Styela clava: one gene and its partner. The protein of the gene in region 1 interacts with the protein of each later gene in a pairwise test. Links are inferred from orthologs where the notes say so. Each region holds a gene or a part of one and is shown on either strand. Other genes may lie near its edges. The genes, in order: B9 domain-containing protein 1-like and B9 domain-containing protein 2-like.

What was found.
Region 2: the proteins of B9 domain-containing protein 1-like (region 1) and B9 domain-containing protein 2-like interact in a two-hybrid assay, tested with the Caenorhabditis elegans proteins (3 studies listed by BioGRID). The link is inferred for Styela clava from reciprocal best matches to the Caenorhabditis elegans genes mksr-1 and mksr-2.

Annotation. Positions count from the first base shown.
Region 1 is NC_135262.1:3,161,758-3,174,405, forward strand, and holds B9 domain-containing protein 1-like, read right to left. Parts: upstream 7,555-12,648; 5' UTR 7,500-7,554; coding exon 7,431-7,499; intron 6,594-7,430; coding exon 6,413-6,593; intron 6,027-6,412; coding exon 5,867-6,026; intron 5,278-5,866; coding exon 5,178-5,277; intron 5,168-5,177; exon of another isoform or gene 4,813-5,167; intron 4,403-4,812; coding exon 4,280-4,402; 3' UTR 3,312-4,279; downstream 1-3,311. Other genes in the region: NADH dehydrogenase [ubiquinone] 1 alpha subcomplex subunit 13-like, read right to left, coding at 8,190-8,678.
Region 2 is NC_135258.1:12,597,708-12,609,756, reverse strand, and holds B9 domain-containing protein 2-like, read left to right. Parts: upstream 1-5,133; 5' UTR 5,134-5,175; coding exon 5,176-5,703; 3' UTR 5,704-6,406; downstream 6,407-12,049. Other genes in the region: intraflagellar transport protein 122 homolog, read right to left, coding at 354-420, 513-589, 997-1,075, 3,129-3,280, 3,446-3,504; tRNA-splicing endonuclease subunit Sen54-like, read right to left, coding at 6,820-8,208; translation machinery-associated protein 7-like, read right to left, coding at 11,890-11,924.

The DNA of each region.
Region 1 (12,648 bases):
TTACAATGAATCAATAATATGAAGATTTGATAAAACAAATGGTCACTCAAAAATGTTAGCTACCGTCACAAAAATGCATATATAATACAAAATCATAGATTACACTTGATAAGCTTTCAAATCAAGCAATATAACATAGTATGCTGTCTGGGTTTGATTATAAAAATAAAATTGTATATCGTAAATGAATATCAATAACATTACAATAATCAGCACAAACAATACAGTCTGAGTATACAAACATTGAAAGAAGCTGCCTCAAAATTGCAAAGATAAGATAAGAGCAAATCTGTTTGCACAATTACGAAAGGTAAATCACTCTTAAACTGCTTATTATGTTTATGTTTGATACAAGTATAACAGACTCACCGGGTCATTTACATATATCAATTCTCTACCTAGACAGTAGATTAGAAATGTATTACGTCAATCAATTGCATTATTATTCCAAGTGGCACATCTCCATAGATTTCTGCCACAATACGGAAGAGATTTTTTCATCAGTAGCTACAGGATATAATTTTCGCTGCCTCATTTCGGTAAAGTAGTTTCCCGAAGACTCCTCGAGTCCATCCTCTAAGCAGCAATAAAGCGGGGTCTGGCATCCGTAGAAAGAAGAACGGCAGAAAAGCACGAAAAACATTTTTCTAAATAACCAACTAAAGAATCTTCCTTTATTAACTTGATCAGCTCCAATGTGGGTTTGAATAGCTCCTGGGTGGACTGCGTATACAGTAATATTATTGCAAGTGCCACCTTCTTGACGTAATCTTTTGTCCAGTTCTTTTGTGAAATACACATTCATCAATTTTGTGTTAGCATATTGCTTAAAGATTTGAAGCCCAGTTGAGTTCCGATTGATATCTGGATTCAGGTTGTCAAAATTTATCTTCCCAAATTTGTACCCTTCTGATGCTACATTCACGATCCTAATAGGAGATTTTTTAGCAGTTTTCCGCAAAATAGGCATCAATAATTGAGTCAACAGAAACGGTCCTAAATAATTTGTACCAAACATCAAATCAAGCCCATCTTTAGTTTTTCCTTCTAGAATAATTCCTGCATTATTCACCAAAATATGCAAATTACTTTCAGATTTCAAAAACTCCTCAGCAAACTCTCTGATACTTTCAAAATCTGCCAAATCAAGTTTCATAGAATGCACTTGATCATTTCCAGTTTTTTGCCGTATTTCTTTCACTGCTTCACAACCTCTGTCATTATTTCGGCAACAAATAATAACTCTTGCGTTACATTTCGCAAGGCCGATAGCGATGCCTTTTCCGATCCCACGGTTACCACCGGTCACAAGCACTGTTTTTCCCGTTAGGTCTTTCTTGCTATTGCACACGGGCCCGCGTTTAAAAAATCGCACCCATACAATAATAGTCAGAATAACTCCACCGCCTATGATATTTGGCAGTGTTAATAATTCTCTTTCGCCTGACGGAAACCAGGAATCCCCATTAAAAAACATAACGCCTTTCTATCAGTGTAGAGTCAACCCTCGCGCAGTCGACATTAGTCACTGCCAAATACCACTAACATCGATAAAATTGTGTAAATAAAAGGCTGGATGGTCACATTCGTCATGGTGCGTCTGTGGGCGAAACGGTGCCGCATTCCGACTTCCAAATCCAAACCGAGTTACACAGAAAATTTTTGGGCGTCCATGAGCGTTTTTGGGCATAAAAGGACTTCAAAATAGCAGAATGAAACTATTCGCCGTTATGGTCAGTATACTCAAGCAATTTATGCTTATTTATCATTATGCTTTGAATTTTGTTATATAAATTAGGTAATCACTGACCTTTGTATGATAAAGAAATGATTATAATTTTTATTTATTTATTTGTTAACTACTAGAATGTAATTTATCATGTTCTTCTTACTTTATACCTTCTGTATGGTTGTGTGTGAGCGTGTGTGAAATATTTCAATTTTTTTTGGTGAGTGAACACGTACCACTTCTTCTTGGCAAAACCTTCTATCATACATTCTGTACGTTTTAAACTAAGTAAGGTTTTGTTTGCTCTCCTGATTTCATAATCAGTTTTTATTTTTACCAATCATTTTATTGCCTTACCATTTTTTAGGCTTTCGCCCTGAACATGACCCTGGAAATGCAGGTACTGATGCAAGGAGCTACTGTTTTTGGAACGACCAAATCCTTTTGTCTCGGTCATGCGTCTGGGTAAGACGGTGAACCTGTTTGAACCCCAGTAATCTACCCTGTGGCGCCAACTTAATTGGCGATCTCACCGTCTCTTTTTAGCTACCACATTTACTTAACGATATCGAACAAACCAACCGTAAGACGAAGCGGACCTCCTGAAGTATGCGCACCAAGATAGCGCACAACCTGAACTCAGGTTGTGTACCAGTTTAGGGTTCTGGTTATGCGACATCTTGGTGCGCATACCTCAAGACCAACGACGAAGCAGAGTATGTACAGGCCAAATAACATGTTACCTATTCTCAAAGTTAATCACTCAACAGTTGTTTCGCATGCAGTTGGTGGCATCATTCAACACAGGTTAAACCTAATTTTAGGTTGTTTATTTCCAGATTATTCGCTTTTCCACACTTTGCTATTAGGGTAGGATTCAAATAGTTATCCCGGAAGAGATGAAAGTAGACAACACGGCTTAATCATAGGGCGAATCATGGCCTTTCGTCCAGTTTTCAGTCCATGTCCGGTATGGGATTAGTTATTTGTTTTCAGATGCATGGATGGAGTATATGTAGGCTTACCATACATCCCGCTTTAGGCGGGACAGTCCCGATTTTAGCGTCTTGTCCCGTCGTCCCGACAAGTCAGCCAAAAGTCCCGCTTTGGCGTTCAGCTATCCAGTATGATACACGAACATGTTCTCGTTACTGTTGTTTCTGTGTAGGGCAGCGCTAGCCTACTTACTGAAGGTGAAAATGTGAAGTTACAAAATCACAGCTACGGGGGTCGTTGTCTCTGGGGGCTTCCCGCTTTGAAGTCACAAAAATATGGTAACCCTAGATTTTTTAGCCAATAATCAACTGCTCATTTCTGCACGTAGCAGATTTCAGAATCAAGAAAACACAAAATGCATACAAGAATAATATATCTATTAGGTATATAAATAGTAAAAAATCATCTACATTATATGAAAAGGTTGAAACAATAAAAGTACCACCAAAGTGCCAGGAAACCAAATAACACTAAAAGAAAATCACCAAAGCTTAGTGAAGTCATCAATTGAGAAGCAAGTATTTATTTAATAATAAGGTAGATGGCACCACTTTTGACGTGGGAAGTGTGCAGAGATCTAGTTAACGAAACCTGAAATAATCCATTCTTTGCCTGAAATATTCAAGGTAAATAGCACCATATTTTTCTTTTTTCAATTCAAGAGCCTTGATGCCAACTATCACAAATGTATTTCTGTAACAATCCGTCTAACCTTGTTACGAAAATCTTGAATTGAATAGAATTGTCATTTGCATACGGAACCACCTGCCCAAAGGCATAGAGTGAGAAAACGTAGTTACCGTAGTTTCACGTAACCCTAATTGTTAGATACTTTTGCTCGTTGAAAATGCACCATGAACCACGCGGGGAAAAAGAGTCATTTTGTAACCTAAACTCTTCTGAAATTTGAGTTAGAATGACTTTAAATTTATGAGTTCTTAGTTCGAAATAGATTCTGCACACCAAACAATTTATTAGAAATAGAGTCCGAAAAGTACTCTCAAATTAAAAAAAAATGATTTAAATTTGGCTGCACTGAACATAGTGCCTGTGCAACAATGCAAACCATTGGATATTTGTATATGGTTTTCTACAATAATATCCTGATATTAATTATTAGATATTAAATTATTTTTCAAATAAAGTATATAAAGAGTTTATAAAATACAGGGTGTTCATAAAGTCCCTTTACAATTTCAATTTTGTTTAAGTCAGTTCTCAATATATCTTAACCAGATTTGTCGTTTTTTAAACAGTAATGTTTAGGTATTTTTACTTCATTTAACACATCTGTGAAGGCAAAAACAATCCATATCCATATGGTATGGATAAATTCCCTTTGCATTTTCAAATATTTTCTAGACTTTATGGCACCCTATATTATTCAGCAAAGTTTCATTTGAAGATTTGAGTATGTGAAGATTTATTTATGAAACAATGTTCAAAAAATTTCCACTAGACATAATTATATTTAATTCTGTCAAATATAAAACATTCCTGAACTAGCAGCCACAGTGGTTATAAGCAGCAATCAAAGTATCTTATTTTGGAATGTCACGATAGCATTGTGGCAACAGCACCAGGCTGAGATTGCGTGGCATCGAATCCGAGTGGTTCACCAGGCGTGACATCATAACCCATCTTTTTCATATCTCTTGTTACAACATTAAAAGTAACCTGAAAAATTTGAAAACTATGAAGTGGGTACTCCCGTAGTGTTTGTAGCAGGTTAGGGTTGGGCCATAACTTCATTCAGATTTTGGTACACACACTTCTGGAGAGCCATAAACATGTGAAACGCTATAAAGTGTGTTACAGATAGCCAAATTTCTTAAAGTAAATTTCTATGTGCTGAAAAGGACACAGGAGTGAAGAAAGACAATATGGCGGCTCAATCATATGGCAAACCACGGCCTGAGTCCATCCGGTTATCAGTCCAAGTTGGGTATGGAATTAGTCAGCCAGTTACTCATTTTCATGTGCATGGACTTGACGATGCTTTCATGAATGCATCAGGATTATTAACAAGAATAGCATAATCTCTTTCTCAGATAGCAAGTATATTTTTTTTTTTTGACATCATATAGGACAGCAATCCTCACATACATGGACACAAGGCCGCACATTGGTACGGGTATGGTAATCCTGAGGCTGAGAGTATCAGAGGACAAGCTATGCAGAGACAGTCGAGTGATACGAAATAAATAGTGTACCCGTCAAATTAAAATAACACGGCAAACATTTTGGGTAACATATAGCATGCTTTATGACACATAAATTTGACGAAAAATACAGGCAATAGCTTCCTAAAGACTCTCTCATCTTTGAGCACTGAAAATTTGAAATTGGTTGGCCCATTGGTTGTGAAGAATTGAGCTTTTTCTCCAACAACAACCTCCGCAGTGTGTAAAATAACAACTTTATACATGTGCAACAACTATAGTTGACTGACCTTTATATGACCTTGTGTTCGAACTCTTGTGACATCACGACCTTCACCTTGCGCTACGACCTTGGGATCTACGAATTCAGGACGTCGGCCAAGGAACCAACTGATGGAAGAAAAGGCATGATTTAAAAACAAGATAACAATTCAAAACAAAATTTCTCGTTGAAGAATAGGAATTCGTTAACTCTTCTGTCTCGCACAAAGTATAATTTATGATATAAAAAGCAAACTGTAGAAATATACTGTAAATAAAACCAAAAGGTTTCGTGTTTTTACTAGTGCAGAATTAAATTAATATTTGAAACTGTGGCCCTTTTTAATCAATACCAGCCAAATAAATAAAATATTAGTCCTGAGATATTATGTTTTGCAGCATTGATTCAAAAGCGTAATATTAACGTAAGGCAATCAGTAAATCAAGAGTCCGGCAGCGCCCAACAGAAATGTATTCCTGTAGGGCTGTAAACTGCTAATATGAAAAAGGGAAATACATTTGAGACTTGAGTATGCAGCAGGACTCTTAAATTACATAGTAAGGTCATTTTTATTACTGCTACAGCATCCTTGCATCATACGATACAAATCCACAAATGACAGGGAGTCTTGTTTAACCCCGACTCATAATCGCAACAGAGTGAAGTCAGAAATCTGACGAATGTTGGTCACATTTGTGTCATAAGATGAAAACAAACCTTGTAAATTTTTGTAACTTTGATGACGATTCGGGCACGAACATCGGTATAATCCTTGAGTGTTTTCCAGGTGCTATGGGCACATGTGTGGCTCCATATCCTCTGACGACATCCTGACCAAATGCATCTGGACCATAACAGCTAACGACTAATTGAGGCCCTGTTAGATGATAGAATGAAGAAGATGGAATTCATGTGATTGCCTAGCTGTTGGTGTGTTAAACTGCATTGAAATCGCAGATTACATGTTAAGACTTCAAATCTCATTCCCATCCTTGGGTAGGTAATGTTGAATCGTAACTAATCCTTATAATAGTAGCTCCCGCATATTCTAAGACAGAGGCGTAGCAAGGGGGAAGGGTCTGAGGGTGGGACTGTTTAGAGCGCAGGGCATGAATAAACATTGTACGCATTACAAAACTAGATTCTCCAGGTTATGCTTACATTATGGTCTGTGGTACATCGGCAAAAATATTTAATTCAAACTTTATTGATTCTAACAGGTCAACTTAACATGCAATAAAATTGATTTACATGCAAACTTACATCCAAACGGATTTGTACTTTTATATGTGATATCCAGAGGGAAATTCCACACAAATAGTTGTCTCTCGTCTCGACTTTTTCTTGTGATTTGTGAGATGCCTTCTTCTAATCCAGCAGTCACTGCCCAGTCTTGACCATGAATGAATGAAAACTTGCAATATAACTCTTCAAAATCTGGAAACTGATAAAACACAGGAGTGATTGCGATTATTCAAAAGCAGGGGGTACACAAAACAGTGAGGCGCATGCTGACATGGGCAAATCCGGCCCCGCCTGATTCTGCAACAGACAAACTAAAACCAAATTTAGATGTTTAAGCTAAAAAAACTAACTCAAGGAATTCTTGAGATTGCGATGCCGATGAATTCAGTTTTGAAATAATTCTGTAAATATTGTTCGTAAACTGGGCCGCCGGCCGGCAGTCTAGGTGGGCAAATATTTTGACCACTTGTTCAAAAACCTTGCCCCATGTGCTATGGGTTTCGCAACCCTTCTCTATAGCATATAATATACACAAAAATCTTGTCACATTTTGACAGTAGAATTTCAACACAATAGTCATAAAACCTTCAGTTTGTGAGATAATATGTTTGGCAGTGTAGGAACTGTGCCCCATCTTTGTTTTAATTGCGAATCTGAAGTATAATAAACTGTGTATGTTGGGCTAAATCAGAAATTTTCGATTATTCAAAAATTATTGAAGTGACAGCAGGACATCTGAGGCATTTGGAGAACTGGTTACCTTAATACCGAATGAAAAATGAATATTCAAAAACTGCCTAATTTAAAAAAAAAAATTATTTAGTCTCGAAAGATTTTTTTTGTTTAAGCAAAAATTTTTTTGAATCTAATATCACAAAAAATTTGGCATTAATCATAACTTGATGTACTGAATTATTAATGTATGAATTCCAAAATAGATACTTATTGTTAGTTTATTTAAAAGTTTCAATCCATGAACGAGCATAAAAAGAAACGATAAAAGAATGATATAAATAAAAAAGTGAATGCAACTTACAACAGCACTTTCAATTTGTCCTGTTGACATCAACATAAAGACAGCTGGGTTTGGATTCAATCCGGCCATTTCACCAACGATATATTTCTAATTATTAATAATATCTAAATATTTTTGAAACAAGTAAACACATTCAGAATAAACAGAAAATGTCATTTAGAATGATAAGTGTTTAATAACAGTATCATATTCAAAATAAACAAAATTTGAGAGCAAACTTTGGATTGGTGAATCATATAAAGCATAATATAACTTTAATAACATCACTAACAAATCTACTCTCTTTCCATAATAGCTAGAGCCATAGACTTTAGCCATAATAGCTCTAGGATTTATAAAAGGGTTTATCAAGCTGTAGTAACGATCTCATGGTAATGTGAAACATATAATTATTCGATCTGGTGAGTTTTAGAATCGGGACATTTTTGCCAGTTCCTGAATCAATGATTGGAACAATGTATTCAACAGGAAGGTAGTATCAATTCAGCTATTTTACAATTTAACAATTATTGGGTTTAATTGCTAAACTTGACGAGGTACATGATAAAGTATTACACACTTATATGTTCATTGCTATATATTTTATAAATTACTATTTCAAAATGAGCTGCTGAAAAACTAATTTATTTGTTAGGAATCCAATTTAGAACAACTAGACTAATGATAAAATTCGAACAAGTACCAAAGCATTTGAATATGGATCCAATTATAAAAACTAACACTCAAATAACAAATTCTGAAATCAAATAAATGGAGAGTCTAAGGTCCTGGAACATCTTTTCGGAAATATTGGTGATACCACAGATCTATGGCACGAGTCCATGAATAGATCACTTCTGGGTATTGGTGATACGGTGCTCGCCATCTTTGCGACTCCCATTCGTGTTGTCCTACCACATGATCAGGGTCTGATCCAGTTCCGATGATGTTGAGTGCTTCGGCTTCCATTATTTCTTTATATTCTCTGAGGTGATTACGATCTTTTTCGGCTTCCAAAAGCGGGAGATATGTCATTTCAATTAGTCGTGTTTCCCGTTTTTCAAATTCGTCCAATTTCATGTTTTTTCTTATGATATGGAAGCCGTAACCAAATGTAAAAATAGCAAACCCAAATATTCCATAACTGCTGGGTCCACGCACGGGAAGATTTCTTAGATATGGAATCCTTCCATAGCCCCCGGGCGGGGGCATGTCCTGTTTATACCTAATCTTGCTCCATGCCTTTGATCCTTCCCCAGAGCCAGCCATTTTTTTCTGAAATGGCCAACCAGTGACGCCAATTCAGTGGCGACTGGAAAATAAACCTTTTGAACAGACCTCGACCTCAAAATTGTCCTACGAAAATAACTCTAATGAAGTGTTTTGGCGACAACTAGTGTTGAGAACAATGGCTACTAGTCGTCGGTCACTATGGACCTTTCCCCGAGCATCGACTTCCTTGTTTACTTCGTGACATTTGCCAATCAGCTAGATGCAAAAAGTGACGTAACAATGCCCCCTTTTCGCATCCGCTCAGACACTTTTCCCACTCAGACAGATTTTCAAGCGTGATTGTAAACATTACCTCGTTTTCGCGTTTTTGAACTCTATTCGTTAGTTTTCAGTTGTGTTTTGGGAACTTAAATAAAAATCAGATAATTCAATGATCACTCTGTCTTTCTAGGAGTTTTAATTCAATTGCAGTAATAAAAATTAGTGTAGAAATAGCTGTGATAGACTAGCCTGAAATTCTTTACCGGTACTTTTAGAAAACAGATTGCTGTATGCGATGAATCATAATGATGGTTTGAAACACATACCCCATTTTACAGACGCCAACTCGCAAAAGCACTCTTAAAATAGCCTTAACAATTTTGCAATGGTAAAGTATAGGAAGAATTTTCCGAGGGTCAAAGGTCGGGGGAAGGTCCATTTCTTTTTGCAAACAAATAAAATTTAAAAACATTTAACACAAAATTTTATATTATTTACAATTACTAGCACTACCAGCTAGAATGTGTGAGTGTTCGAGATTTTTTTAAATTCTTGAATTATAGAAAGTGGGAGTGGGACAATTGATTACAGTGGGCGCAATACTACCGTATAAATATCGTTGCTATTTTCAAATCACGCCAACTCGTCGGCGTCCGTTAGTCTGGCGTCAAATCTATAACAGCGACGCAACATAACGTCGTCTTCGAAGTGAGCGACGTCAGTGTGACGTCAACGTTCAACGTGTGCGTCAGATGCTATTATTTTAATAAATAAAAAAATTTTTTATTTTTTTTTTTTTTTTTATTGCATTTCATAAAATAAAACAATATTGCAATATAATTGCAATAAACAGTATCAATCAATAAATAATACATCACAGTAATACATAACAATATCATGGCAAATCATTTAGATTTTGATAAATTATTGCAGTAAACAATATTAATAAATAAATTTTCATTTTATCTATAATTAAACAGGAGGGCTATGCTCAAATATATGGACACGTGGGGCCACGTAATTTTGATGACGTCATAGCGAAAAAAAGTAATAGCCTTCTGGAGAGAAGTTTTATCTTTTTAAAAACGAAAAACAAAAAGAAGAGGATTGCCTGCATAAAATGCAAAACGATCGATATGTCCACTACGTGTTCAATAACAATGTCATCCCAGATGACCCTATACATATACATAAATTATAACTTAATACAATAGTTAGAATAATATAATAACAATCATCTGTTTACAATAATAACATTACTGCAATCTTTAAATAAATTCCATTTTTTTCTATGTATGTGAAGTTTGCCATTTTTAAATGCTGAATATTTTTCACTATCACGGATATCACATAGAAATTTGAAAAACACATCAAAAATCGGTTTGTGCTTCTGAATTCGGCATCTATATATATAAAAAATATTTGGATTCAAATTTTTTATCGAGTCTCCTGCGACATCTTGCGATCAATCTAATTTTCCATATACATTGTTATCGCCCTCTATCGAATGACGGTAGTTTGAGGAAATTAGCATCAGTAGAAGTCACGATTTGAGCCGCTCGAAAACGGAGTGTCAATTTTATCGTAAAACGTGATTTTTTAATCAGAAAATAAATTAAATTGCGCGATTGAATATGATAACAGATTTAGATATATAAGGACTCACTATGGAAACTGTCAGAAGCACAATATGACGTAATTTAGTCGAGATATGAACGATTGAAAATTTCATCCGAAGTTACAAGGTATCCGAAGTTAGCCGGTTTCACGCTACCACAATTCGTCTTAATTGTTTAATAATTAATGAACTGACAATGATTGACACGGAATGTGTCGTGTTGTGAACATAGCCCCTATTATTAGTAACAATATTATATATTTATAAAAAAAATAACATTATTAATATTTTTTTATAGATTTCCATGATTCGTGTGATATTGAACAACTAATAAAATGTCACTTAAACTTGTAATCTCAGCAGCAATTCTTGCAATTGCTATTGGCATTTGGATGAATTCTGTGAAAACAGGAACTGAGGGACAAGATGTATTAAACTACTCCCTGAGAGCTGTTATAGTAGTAGTACTTACAATTGGTATAGGTGCTTGGATAAAATCCATAAAAATTGGGCCAGTATGTGACAGCAACACAGATTTAACTGGGAAGACGGTGCTTATCACTGGAGGAAATGTTGGTGTTGGAAAGGAAACTGCCACTGGTTTAGCGAAGCACAATGCAAAAGTAATTATTGCCTGCAGAAATTCTTTAAAAGCTGAAAGAGCAGTGACAGAAATCCGATTAGAAAGTGGAAACGATTTGGTAACTTTCATGAAGCTGGACTTAGCAGAAATGGCTGATGTCCGAAAATTTGCAAATGAGTTTATCGCAAAAGAAGAAAGACTTGATATTTTGGTCAATAATGCTGGAATAATAACAGATGGGAAAACAAAGGACAATTTTGATATGATGTTTGGCATTAACCACTTGGGACCTTTTCTATTAACGAATTTATTGTTGCCCTTATTGAGAAAAACTTCAAAAAAGAATCCAGTAAGGATTGTTAATGTAGCGTCAAAAATTTACGCAGCAGGAAAAATTGATTTTAATAATTTGAATCCAGTTGTTAATTCTAACAGTGGGATGAAAGAGATATTTCTTAAATATGCAAATACTAAACTTATGAATATATATTTCACAAGTGAGCTGGATAAACGATTGAAAAGTGAAAATGTTGCAATCACGACATACTCTGTTCATTCTGGCAATGTAGATAGCAGTTTTGCACGTGATGTTGCACAAAGATGTGGATTGCTGTGGGCTTATTTTAACAAATTTTTTTGCGGTTTTGCATCAATGACTCCTTACTATGGCGCTCAGTCCTCATTGCATTGTTGCCTTGAGGAAGGAATTGAAGATCGAAGCGGAAAATTATTCGTGAAGTTGAGACCCATTGAAATTGACGCCGTGGCAACTGATCCTGCGATAGGTACCAAGTTATGGAAAGTTAGTGAAGGTCTAACAGGACTCACTGACTAAATTGTCGAGATTTGAAGTATAGGATTCTTATTTGCTCGCTTTATCTCAAACAAGGCTTTGGACAATCATAATTCATTCACCAGCACAGGATGGGTGCGGTAATGGTAAACATTGACCTAGGGCCTAGGCCAGGGATGGCGAACCACTGACCCGCATGTCACAAAGTGACCCACCACGTTTTATTTGTGACCCGCCAAGCGAAGGCACGAATGAAATAAAAAAAAATGCTAACATATCAGTGATAAAAATTGATAAAACCGGCTTTAAATTAATCTAACAATTACTAAACTATTATAATGTACCGTCAGTTGTACAGTCAGGGAGAGCTGCGATCGCTCATGTTCAAAATGTTGATTTTCGGGCTGGTATGGTGATTTTCAAAACCCCTAATCTTGTACGCATGTATGCACCGCTGTGTACCGTTATGCAGCTATTGGGCCTGACATCGTTTATGACATAACAATGCAATTGATCCGTTCATTTCTCGCAACGTCCGTCTTATTTGAAAGTGCATCTATCTGCAGACTGTTTTAGGGGTTATACGAGAACTAGATGCTACTTTGCATTTTATTAGTTTCTCGCCTACAATGCCGTTATGAAAACAAACTTTCAGCCTTGAAATAAAAATCTAGAAATTTGGTATAACAATGGGGCAGTGTAAAAGTGGCCTAATGTGGTTGGAAGCTGATCGAAAATTATAACACTATCA
Region 2 (12,049 bases), on another chromosome or scaffold:
TAAAAATTGGTCTCAGGTATAGGCTTTGCAATACAAAGGTATTGGGGTTACTCGCACTCACACCAAATTGAACTAAATTGAAAACTTGTTCCCCAGGGCGCACACAATTCAAAATCGGCCGCACAATTTTCCCTTGTGGGCCGCCATTGGCCCGCAGGCCGTAGGTTGCACACCCCTGCCTTAGGTCATAAAAAGTGTTCCCATAAATTTAAAAAAAATCAGAGAAACATAAGGCATAGCAATTGGACATAATTTGAAAAAAAGGAATAGCTTTCTTGCAACTTTGACAATTTGAAAATGAATGGTCCATTAGTTGAGTAGAAAAATGATTCTTTCACAAATACAATACCAACCTGCAGCATGTGATTCTGCTATTCACTTTATGCTTATTGACTGATTTCTGTTCTGGTGACCACAGACCTAAAAAGAGGTAAATGAAAAAATATGTATAAATTAACATGAATTTATTGATTATTTATTACAAATACGACTGTTCATAAAAATCCTCTCACCAAAATCAGAAACTGCACATGATACAAGTTGTTGGGCTACAGGACTGTATGCAAGAGCTTGTATTGCATCATTGTGTCTGTGAATAAAAATGAGGTTGGTTATAGAAAACAGAAATCACTTATTTGACACTGCTTATGCCCATTGTGCAGAATGCAGAACTGTAAACCAATGAAATACAAATAATTTTGCGGTACTATCCCGAGATCAATAAAGAATAATAGGAGTCAATCGTATTTTTAAAAGTTTGGAAATTCCAAAAAGGTTAAAATAAACAGTGATTCATTCATTCAATGATTTTTTATCCATTTTTTACTATTTTCAGAAGTTAGATGCTTTGTTGCTGATACCTTGATTACTCAACTTGGTTATTTTTAAATAAAAATATTTAAAACTAAAATCAAGAATTTTATATGAATCATTTCAAATTAATTCCAATATTAGATTCGTTTGGGACATCCCTGCTAGGAACCAATAAGAGCATACGTGTATTTCAATATCCCACTCAGCGAATCAGTCCATATGATGACACTTTTGTCTGCTGAGCCAGAAGCGAAACGTTTACCTTTAAAAAAAAAAGAAAGAGTTTAAAGCAGATAGTTATTCATTCAAAATTCTATATTATACCTTGCTAGGAAGAATGTAAATTAGAATCATAATTTGATATAGGAATTGTGGGCTGCTATTTACAATGCTTATTGAAACTTTTCTAAGCAGATTTCGTTGAATTGTGAAGTGTTCGCAAAGCAATTTATATTGTACAGAGAAAAATTCATGCTAGTTGTCAGAAAGATACCATGCCAATTTTTTTCCCACTTTACTACTGTTTCATTTCAATCTAAATAACACATCTTGCAGCTAGGGATGGGCAATATAGAATACCGAATCCGGAGGATTCGAATCCCAAAGTATTCGAATCCAACGGGATCCGATAACAGGATTCGGTTTCCGCCTCTCCGGCGCCAAGCGTCATTTTTTTTATTTCGGGTTTCTAATTTATCAATTATAGACGAGCGTTTTTCTCGCGTGGAAATCTCTCTCGTTTAATTAAACTTGCGTCTGCTCGCAAATAACCCGTAAATCGGTGAACATCAAACACTGTAATTTCAATCGGCATATTCAGGACAAGAAGTCGGTAATATAACCTCACAGCGAGAACTCGTTATTGCACCATTTTTGCGTTTTCTTTCTTTGCTATCTAGCTAGCGTTATTTGTGCCGACTTACTGGTGATATTCCGATAATCTGAATACAACAATCTTTAATTGTTTACAGACGTGCCTTGCCTCATTTTAAATTAAATGATTTTTCGCGACCTACGAGTTTTCCCAAAAAAATGATGCACGTAAGCCAAAAGCCAGGCGTTAAATGTTATAACATTAATTTAGATCAAATATTATTCACGAATAATTTTATTGTACCATTTTCCGAAATACAAAGTTATATCGCAAAACGCAAACATCTGTCACATTTAAATTTCACTCTCAAAAAATTACATATTTTTCGGTCCGTTTCTATCGTTCAAGATAGACGCACGTTTAATCAAGTGTCTGTAGTATTTTAGTCGCCGATAAATTTTGAAAAAAGTTGCCGCATCTGGCGAAGATAGTGACGTATTGAATTTGAGTAGGGCTAAGTCTGGGTAGATAATGATTAATGATAACATTTCTATCGTTCAAGATAGACGCACGTTCGATCGAGTGTCTGTAGTATTTTAGTCGCCGATAAATTTTGAAAAAAGTTGCCGCATCTGGCGAAGATAGTGACGTATGAATTTGAGTAGGGCTAAGTCTGGGTAGATAATGATATGTAACGATAATCATAGAAAATGAGTTCGTCTTCAGATGTTATTACCTAATAACTAAGTACGAAATCGCGTTTACGGGAACTTGGTTTTACGTGTCTTGCTCTCACAGAATAAAAAGTTGATTTTATTTGATAGTGCTTAAATTTAATATTTTACAACGGAGCATAGGTTGCAGTGGCCACATGCTGGTTCAGCATCTAATTAATTCTCAGCGGGTATGTTTTAGTATACTCGGCAGACTTACATTAATAATGATTTAACGCCGTTGCATGTCTATTTTGTATTTAACCGCTTACTATTAAAGTGTGTAAAGCGTGTCTTAATTTAGCATATCAGTATTTAGGGATCACATACATTTGGAACAATTGAAGGCAAAAAATATTGTAATATTCCTAAATTCTATTGTCCTGGGAACTGCCTGTTTAGTATCAAATGAAGTCCAATGTTCAGGACATTTCCAAATAGATAATACATTTATAGTAAGTAATAACATTTGCAATTTTTTACCATCTAAATCCAGCAATGTAGAAATTCCTACTATTTGAATAAGTATGAAAATAGAATAGGATTCGGTATTCTGGATTCGATTTAACTATTCTAGAATATTCTAGAATAGTAAATTATTCTACATTGCCCATCCCTACTTGCAGCTTAATAAAGATCTATTTTACTGGTTGGAAAAAACAAACTTGACGAAAGAGCTTACTAACAGATATTTCGCATAATCAAAAAAGAAGTTACAACTGTGTACAGAAGTTACACTGTTAACCTGTCTATAAATAAACCACAAAACGCAATAAAAAATCTCTCACCATCTCTAGAAAAGGCGACACAATATACAGAGTCCTTGTGTCCTTTAAGTGATTGTTCCAGTGTTCCATCACTCGGATCATAGACTAAAACTCTATTTCCCGCAGCAACCATCAACTGAGATCCATCGGGTTTAAATGCCAAGTCATATATGCTGAAAGAATAGATGTACAACTAAAACTTTGTAAAAACATTCGAGAGGAAAGTAAACAAAATGGTCACCGGTAAGTGATTTTGAACAATAATATTCTTGATTATTATACCAAAATTCATATTCTTAATATCAATTTTTTATAAGAAATAAATTACTATGCTGTACCATTGTCCAGCAGTTGTTTTGTCCTGAACTTTATCCAACCAGAGAGGAACAGATCGCATGATAATGTGTTGCTGAAAACTTGCTAAAGTGAATTACTGACATACGTGATACATTTATATGGTGTAAAATTGTCTAAAAATGTGAAAACATTTTTAAGTAAAATAGTATAAATATTTCTACTATATTTACTAATGAAATATTCTAATCCAATAACTCAAACTGGTTAAACTGTTATGGCTTAATTGGTTGAAGAATGAGAATTCATATATACAACATGGAAAAAAATCCTATTTCAATTAATGAATTATTGTCAAAATAATTACAGAATACAAAACAGGAGGCTGTAAATTTACATTACTGAACGGTGAGCTCATTTATTCGAAACACACTAGGTAAGTATATGCTACCCGTAAGAATTTTTTTTATAGGTATTTCTTGCACTTTAACGCATTTCGACGACTAGAGCAGAGCCGAGCTGAAAGAGAAATATTTCAACTCGCCAAATTAACCCTCTGTGGCAGATATAAATTATCGCCAACAGATATATAAACGCTGTGGTTTTATTAAATTTTATAAATTGTTTTAAAATATTTGATATTAAAAAAAAACATATTTCATTTCAAAATTGGCACAAAACAAAAACAAATAAAGCAAAATTCCAAAAATATATTAAAAAATAAACTTCAACCTTTGTAACCAAAGGGTTTAAGTGGTACCGCTTGATTTAAAATTAATGCATCAATGCTCCAGGATACGCGGTTTATTTGTTGTTCTGCGATTCTGGATACGGTTTCTTTAGTTAAAATATTTATTCTAAATTCCGGTGTTTCATATATATAATCTTGTTTTATTAAAATATTTATTCTAAATTCCGGTGTTTCATATATATAATCTTGTTTTATTACATTGAGAATTACCTGTATGGCTGGATATAAATGTGATCAATGAATAACGGTTGAAGTACTGAAATGAATGTTTGTATGCTAATGCTGTAGGTACCGCTACATAGTTATTTATTTTTGTTCCTATATAAGTATGTTTTGATTTTCCCGAAAAAAAATCATACACAAAACACAAGAATGAACACACAGAAGATTGCGAAAATTTGGGAAACTTGCAAAACTTTTATAAAGGTACAATACATGTAAATAAACATGCGCATTAATAAAGAATAATTGTCATAGCTGCCAATGGGAAATTGAATGTATGTTCAGTCCAGGTACCGCACCCTAGTAGTGTATTGACCGGCTTCAGTTTACTATAGACTGAATAAGTGAAATATTTTTTGAATAATAAATACCATTAAAAGAATTAATACCATTATCTAGCAATGTATTTCATCTGTCATGTTGTGTCATACCAGAACCTCTCTATCCAGTTATTCATAGATGTTTAACGATTTGGTCATGTTCGATAGCAAACAATGTTTTAACATTAAGTTAATACTGTGCAAAAACTCCATATCGAATTCCCATTTTTATTGTTCCAGTATCGAACGACTTTGATATAGCTAGGCTATACTTGGTTTGTCAATTGGGTACTCCTGAAGTATGTGCACCAAGATGTCGCATAACCTGAACCTGGTTACCAACCCGAGTTCAGGTTGTGCGCCATCTTGGTGAGCATACTTCGGGAAGTCCGTCAATTGTTCCATACTATTATATTAATTTGTTTTTTTACTTTGCCTTTAAGATTTATCATAAATATGTTGAACCATTTATAAACAAACCATGGCTGAAGTCCATATTATTGGTCAGTTAACTGGGGCGAGTGAATTTCCAGATCATAGACTTTTCTGCAAATGGGGAATTCACGCAGGAGGTGCCTGGAAGTTGATAGCAGGTTCAAAAGATGGACAAACTCAAGTAGACAATCCACAAAATGAAGAGTTCGCTGCATTTTGTCATCCAATAGACTTGCATTACGCAACTAAAGGACTTCAGGGCTGGCCACGTCTACATGTGCAGATTTGGCACCATGATGCATTTGGGAGAAACGAACTATACGCTTATGGATTTGTTCACATTCCGTCGTCTCCAGGACCACATGAAGTTGAGTGCATGACATGGAAACCCAATGGAACATTTAAAGAAGAATTGATGCAATACTTTGTTGGCGGATGCCCACAATTGAAAAATCCAGAATTAATATACAGTGGTGCAGACAGGTATAAATTGCATACAACTGCTATGGGAAAGGTTCATGCACAATTGAATGTAATACTGAGAAATTTTGACAAATTTGGCATTGAAAGTTAGTCATATGTAGCGTTTTCAAGATATTTTTGTGACATATTATTGTTTCTGAACCAATACTCATACTGTGAGAAGTGTAAGGTGGTATTGAAAGAAGATGTTGAATTAGTGGTATTCTATTGAATGATTTCTTTAACATATCTGAGAATAATGTAGAAAATCAACATTCATATTTCTGCGATATTACATCCCCCAATTCATTTTGAAATATTTTTGAATTTCTATTTTGAATAGTAGAAAATGGTTCGGTTTGACCATTAATAGATATATTCATGATGGCACTTTTCGCAATAATGTTTAATCTTCAAATTATCCATTATAAATTGATAATAAGAGCGGAGGATTTATATAATTTTGAGCAAGGTTGCAAATGTGGATTTCATGTTTTCAATGTTTATACTGTTGTAGTAAATATATATCTGTTAAAATTGTATATTAATAAATATGACTTACTGTATATTGTAGGAAATGTTTCAGCTGGTGAGCGACTTATCTATATCAATTATGATATTTTTCATTAGCATTCTTATACCAATAAAAGTTACATTATTGATGGAAAGGGCCTGCGATTACTGATGCTCCTCAAAACAGTTTTGAAATATATAAACTACATATCATAAAAACACACTTCATTAGCAAGTGGACGTTGACTCAAATATATTCCTTTGAAATGAACCATGGCAAATTTTCTGATTTGTCAGATATAATCAGATTTTGAAACGTCTCTAATAATACACAATGAAAACTGTAGCTCGATGACACTTGGAACAATGATTTGCCTGATATGATATTTGACTTAACGGAACATGCGAAAATGTAAGGTTAACTAATCCTATTCAGCATTGGAACTAAAGCACATACACTGTATTGTAAAATATATTTTGTTTTGTTGATATACAATGCAGAAAATTTCATGAAACATGAATAATTTCAGTACAGCCTCAACAAATTTGAAGAAATATTTCCAAGCAGTTAGTTGTCGAAGAGAAACACGGGATAATGTTCATCATCACCTTGCAACTTCTATCAAATATCAGACTCATTTATTTATGAAAATAATATTTATTGCCAATCTTGAAAATCATGTCTGATTTTAGAGCATGAGAGATTAAAACACTATCACGGATCATTAATTATAGTGGGAACACCACCTTCATCAATGGAAAAAAATGATATTTGTCCATAATCAACAACTCCATATTTGACTGGGACACTATTTGATTGTCTATTAATAGTAATATTAGTCAGTGTATCAAGAAATTCGTCCTGAATTGTTGTTACAACTATCCTACAAAATGGTGTACCAGGATTCGTTTTTTTGAAAGGTAATGAATCACTCTTAAACACATTATATTTAATAGTACAAGTTTGGTTATGTTGTTGCATGTTTTGAAATTTCTTATTAGATGCATCATTGGTTAGTTTTATTTCTTTGACAACTTGATCAACACTAGTTGCCTGTGATGGATGTAATAAGGGTTTAATATTGCCTGAATGCATCTTATTGAGCAGCTCAAAATGCTTACCAGTCTTTTTATGCTTGGCTATTTTCACCATTTTCTTATATTCAGTCCATGTTTTTGCCCTCCGCGCAATATCATTAAGGTTAATCATATTTGAATGTTGTGGGTTTCTTTTTTCATTGACATAATCCTTTTGGATTCGTTGAAACCAGATTTCTTCAATATTATACTCATGTGTGTCAATATTTGGTGGTATTAGACTTGCATCTGGCTTTGGCAAATGCGTATATGACTTATTTGATAGATTGGGAAAAAATTTTGCATCTAATATGAAAGTACAATGGGAAAGTGAATATGGAGATAATGCTGGAAGAGACTGCATATTCCAACCTCTAGATGATTTTGGAGACAAAATTTCTTTTGAAACTACCTTGTGATCTTGTTTGGATTGTTTTGAGTTTCCTTCTTCGAATTCATCATCCTTAGGAAGCTTTCTTTTATTTGCTTTTTCTTTTTCCACAAGTCCAGTACAATTGTCATCTAACGAGTACCTCTGGACAATATATCCTCGTTTGACCAAATATGAATACACCTGATAATCCTGTAAGCTACAGCAGCTTTTATCATTGTTTAGTATAAACGAGTAAGCCTCTTGCAGTGCCAGTGGGACACCATTTAAAGTTAACTCTAAGTCACCAATGTCTAGTAGGAACAATGCCTCTTCACCAAAAAGGGCAAAAAATTCACCATTATGATGGCACATGCTTTGCATGAATTTACCTTGCTTTGTGATTTTTGCTACTCCCAGACTTTCCATCCATTCCGCACTTCCCAGATTACTCAATTTCCTGACTTTTTCCGAGTGTAGTACAGAAGCATATTTATCCAATTGTGTATTCACCTTACATTCTTCAACAACAGTGTCACTGGTTCCAAAGAATTTAGGGCCACCTTTAGATGGTAAAGAGTTGGACTGAATCCCTGGTCTCCAGGATAGCAATCTCTCAGCAGCAGAGATTTCATCATCAATGTTTCCATTTGACATTAAATTTATCAGCTAGTGTAAATATCGATTGCGCAATCGAAAAAATATAAATCGACTTTCATGACCCAAACTCTGATGTATAACATAATTCAGTAATTAGTTGAAAGAGGAATATAAATAATCTGACAATCTCTTGAACACAGCCATTCAGACATTGCAATTCTGTGAAACGTCAGCGCCTTTACCAAAAAATACCGGCTGTAAGATAACTTAGACAAAAAAGCTGCCCTCATCTTCAGTGGTGGTAGCATGAAAGTTCTATCAGTGTTAGCGAAATTAGGTCATGTGTGTCCAATTAGGGTCAGTCAGTCCGATTACGGCCAGGGTAATACGGTCAATGACACCAATTCCCGTAACGCAATTCAATTCCATTCTTCCGAAAACAAAAAACTGGCTAACTGATCCCATGCCCGACCTGGACTGGTAACCGGACAAGAGGCCATGGTTCGCCATATGATTAAGCCGTCTTATCGGCTTTCCTCTCGACGGGATAAATATGTAAATTCAATTTTTTTTTTAGATTGGATTTTTTTTTAGATTAGATTTTAGATTGTAAATTCTATCCTACATAGTTCTGAATAACAGAGGCAGAGCCCTTGTTGTACACGCACTGACTGTGTTTCGGTGGCGCTAATCGGACACACATTGACATTTCGCCAGCCCTAGTTGAACACTCACTGACCGCAGCCTTCATGGTAAATTTGTCGTCATAAATTATACCATTATGCTCAGTTGCCGAAACCAGATATAATTCTGATACCACCAAATACAGTAGAAAACTCTAACTACGAAATTGATTTGTTCCGGACGCCCGTTCGCAAGTGGAAAATTCCGTAAGTGGGTACGCATTTTAACTGTAAAGGCCCTAATACACACAGAAAGAACAGTGAAATAACGAATAAAAACTACGAACGGTATGTTTGTGTACCTTTGTTTATTTACCATTGTCATTACCAATGAAGGAGAATTAGGACCGGAGAACGTTTTACTTTTTCATTTTTCGAGGCGGCGCTGAGTTAAAAAAATTTCATGTCAGCTGTTACGATTTTAATTAATACCACCGACTTGAACTGAACGATATTGTCATCAACGACGTCAGGATCACGATAAAATCCGCGATACATACTAAATAATATTTGAGAGCTACTTTATACGCTCTGAATTGCGAGAAATGAAATAATTTCCGTTATGTTCGGTCACAATCGAAACGACAGATTACAACAATTGATTACGACACAATTTTCTTTTAGATTTATGGCCGAAGCCGCACAAACTATCTCGACTAAATTGAAATAGGAATAACAAAATCTATTTTCACGAAATAGTAAGTTTATTTATGAGCTTGCGTTAGATCATAGTTTAACTCCTTCATATAAAACAAGATATGGCTGCAAATGATAAAGATCAATAGTCGGTTAGAAATAATATACTAAAAATACGAGAATATTAGAGATGAATGGGTTGAGTCTGTCTCTATTGTGCTGTCTAGACTCTAGTCTAGAAGAATGATATTCAGTCGACATTTGAAGATGTTCCAGTGTTTGTTTTTGAACTTTTTTGTATGGTTTGTTGTTGTTTGTTTTAGGTTCGTTTTCGTTGAGTTTCAGTCTTTTACGTTGATTCCTTGTGGTTGCCGGGTTCAGTACACAGTACCCTAGCTAGTACACCCTAAATTGAAATATATGATAATAATTGTAAACTAATTCCAATCCAAAACACCCTCGACGTGTTATCCTTTAATGTCGGCTATAATTTATGTCAGCGGCCTTCGAATGCGATAAAAAAAATCTTAAATGCTTTTAAATCAAAACGTGGACGGCGGCGCTAGGATACGTGCGCCATATTCATATGGACACGAAAAAACGATATTTGAAGATCGCGATATTCGAATATTGGATTTGGAATCCCTACATTAATCCTAGGGAACCTACGTAACACCCCTATTACACGATCTTACTAGTAGTTGGTCAAGTCAGATAGTGAATACGATATCAGAAAAGACGAAAACAACGGCTTTCAGGTTCATAATATTTTCAAATAATGATTACATAGTTTTTTTTCTAATGAAGCATTACACAACTGATCGCTCACAGACACCGAAAATATCTTCTGACAAATATCTTGCTCACTCATTGATCGAAACAAGTAATATAATGTTGTTCTTTGTTCTCATTTCGTGATATTTCATTTTACAGGTCGAGTCCGAAAGTTCTGACGACGACGATCCTTTGACGAGTTCACGAGTGCAAAATCAAAAACATAGCCAAAAAGAAAATGCAACCGACCGCAATGAGTTTCGGTGGAGAAAGAAACATTCCGATAGACCTGATGCAACATTCTCCGGCCCACAATTGGATCCTCCAGCTGACATGATTGTAGATACGCCATTGCGTTATTTCCGCCGTTTTGTGACAGAGGAAACCTTTTTATCAGCTTTCCATTCATTCAAAAATTATAAGAGGGGAATGCAATATGTTAGCACCGTGAGAAAAAACCGCCTACCCAGCTGTAACCTAGACGATGAAAAAACATTAAAAAGGAAGGCAGGGGGGAATATGACTTCAGAGTTGAGTAAAAAAATAACGTAATAGCCGTAAGCTGGTATGACAACAGGGCAGTATCACTACTATCTTCGTACGTAGGAGTGGAGCCAATTGATCAAATCAGACGATGGGACAGACGAACGAAGCAGCATGTGCACATAGCCATGCCTGCTATTGTGCAAGAATACGAGAATATCGGTCGGAGACCGAAGACTTATCGAGCGAAACTGCGGGTTTGATCCATGACCCTATAGTGACACCGCGTGTCCCAGCACTAATTAATTATTAACTCGCTAATTATACGACACAATTCATCCAAAATAAATGAGCTTCTGGTTCAAGATATGATGAATGCACATGCAAAATTTGGAGCAGATGCAACCACGCCTTCGTGAGATATCGCGTGCATCTAACAGACAGACAAACAAACAGACAAATACCTATCAACATACTTACCGATCTAAAGATCGAAGAGTAATAAGTTTATGTGAGGTATTGATAAATTGAATTCATTTCTTGCAAAGTACAGGTTTCGAATGAAATCAAAAAGATGGTATCTTTATCTCTTTTGGCATTTCATAATTCAAAGAATTCGAAAAGATTCTGTGGATGGAAAAAGAAACCCACAATACCTGTGGATACTCAATCGACTACTAACTCTTGACGATGCTATTTTCCTCCATCAATACGCATATAACCAAGAGTTGACTGACTGAGAATTTTAATTGTACTTGTGTTATTATTACAAACGAAATGACTTTTACAAGTTATTTCAAGCCACTGTCTGGACTCTTGAAGGAAGAAGTTTTATCAATTGAAAAACAAAATGCTGGATAAACACGTCACCAACAAAATTTATTGCAGAATGTAGTAGATTCCACTTGTTTTAAAAAATAGAATGAAGTAAAAGCATTCAAAATATTTTGGCAGCAAATGTACAAATCAGCATGTTAATTAACTATACCCAGCTATAGAACAAGTTTATTTGAAATCGCATGTATTAACTGAATTTATTAATATGATTTTGGTTTAGCGACAATACTACTGCAACATTTCTGTACATCTCTATCCTGTTTCTCAATTCTAGTGTTTATAGGAGTTCCAGTGTGACTAAAAAATTTTCTTGCATCACTTGAGGTCATTTTTTTCCAGATTTCTTTATTCCACCTTGTGCTGCAATGCATATCAGTAAAATATTAAATAAGATTTATGAAATAAGTATTTAATTTTAGTATACCAAAAGACGAACACTCATTGAATGTTCCTAATGCTTTTTCATTTTGTCTTACTTATAGTAT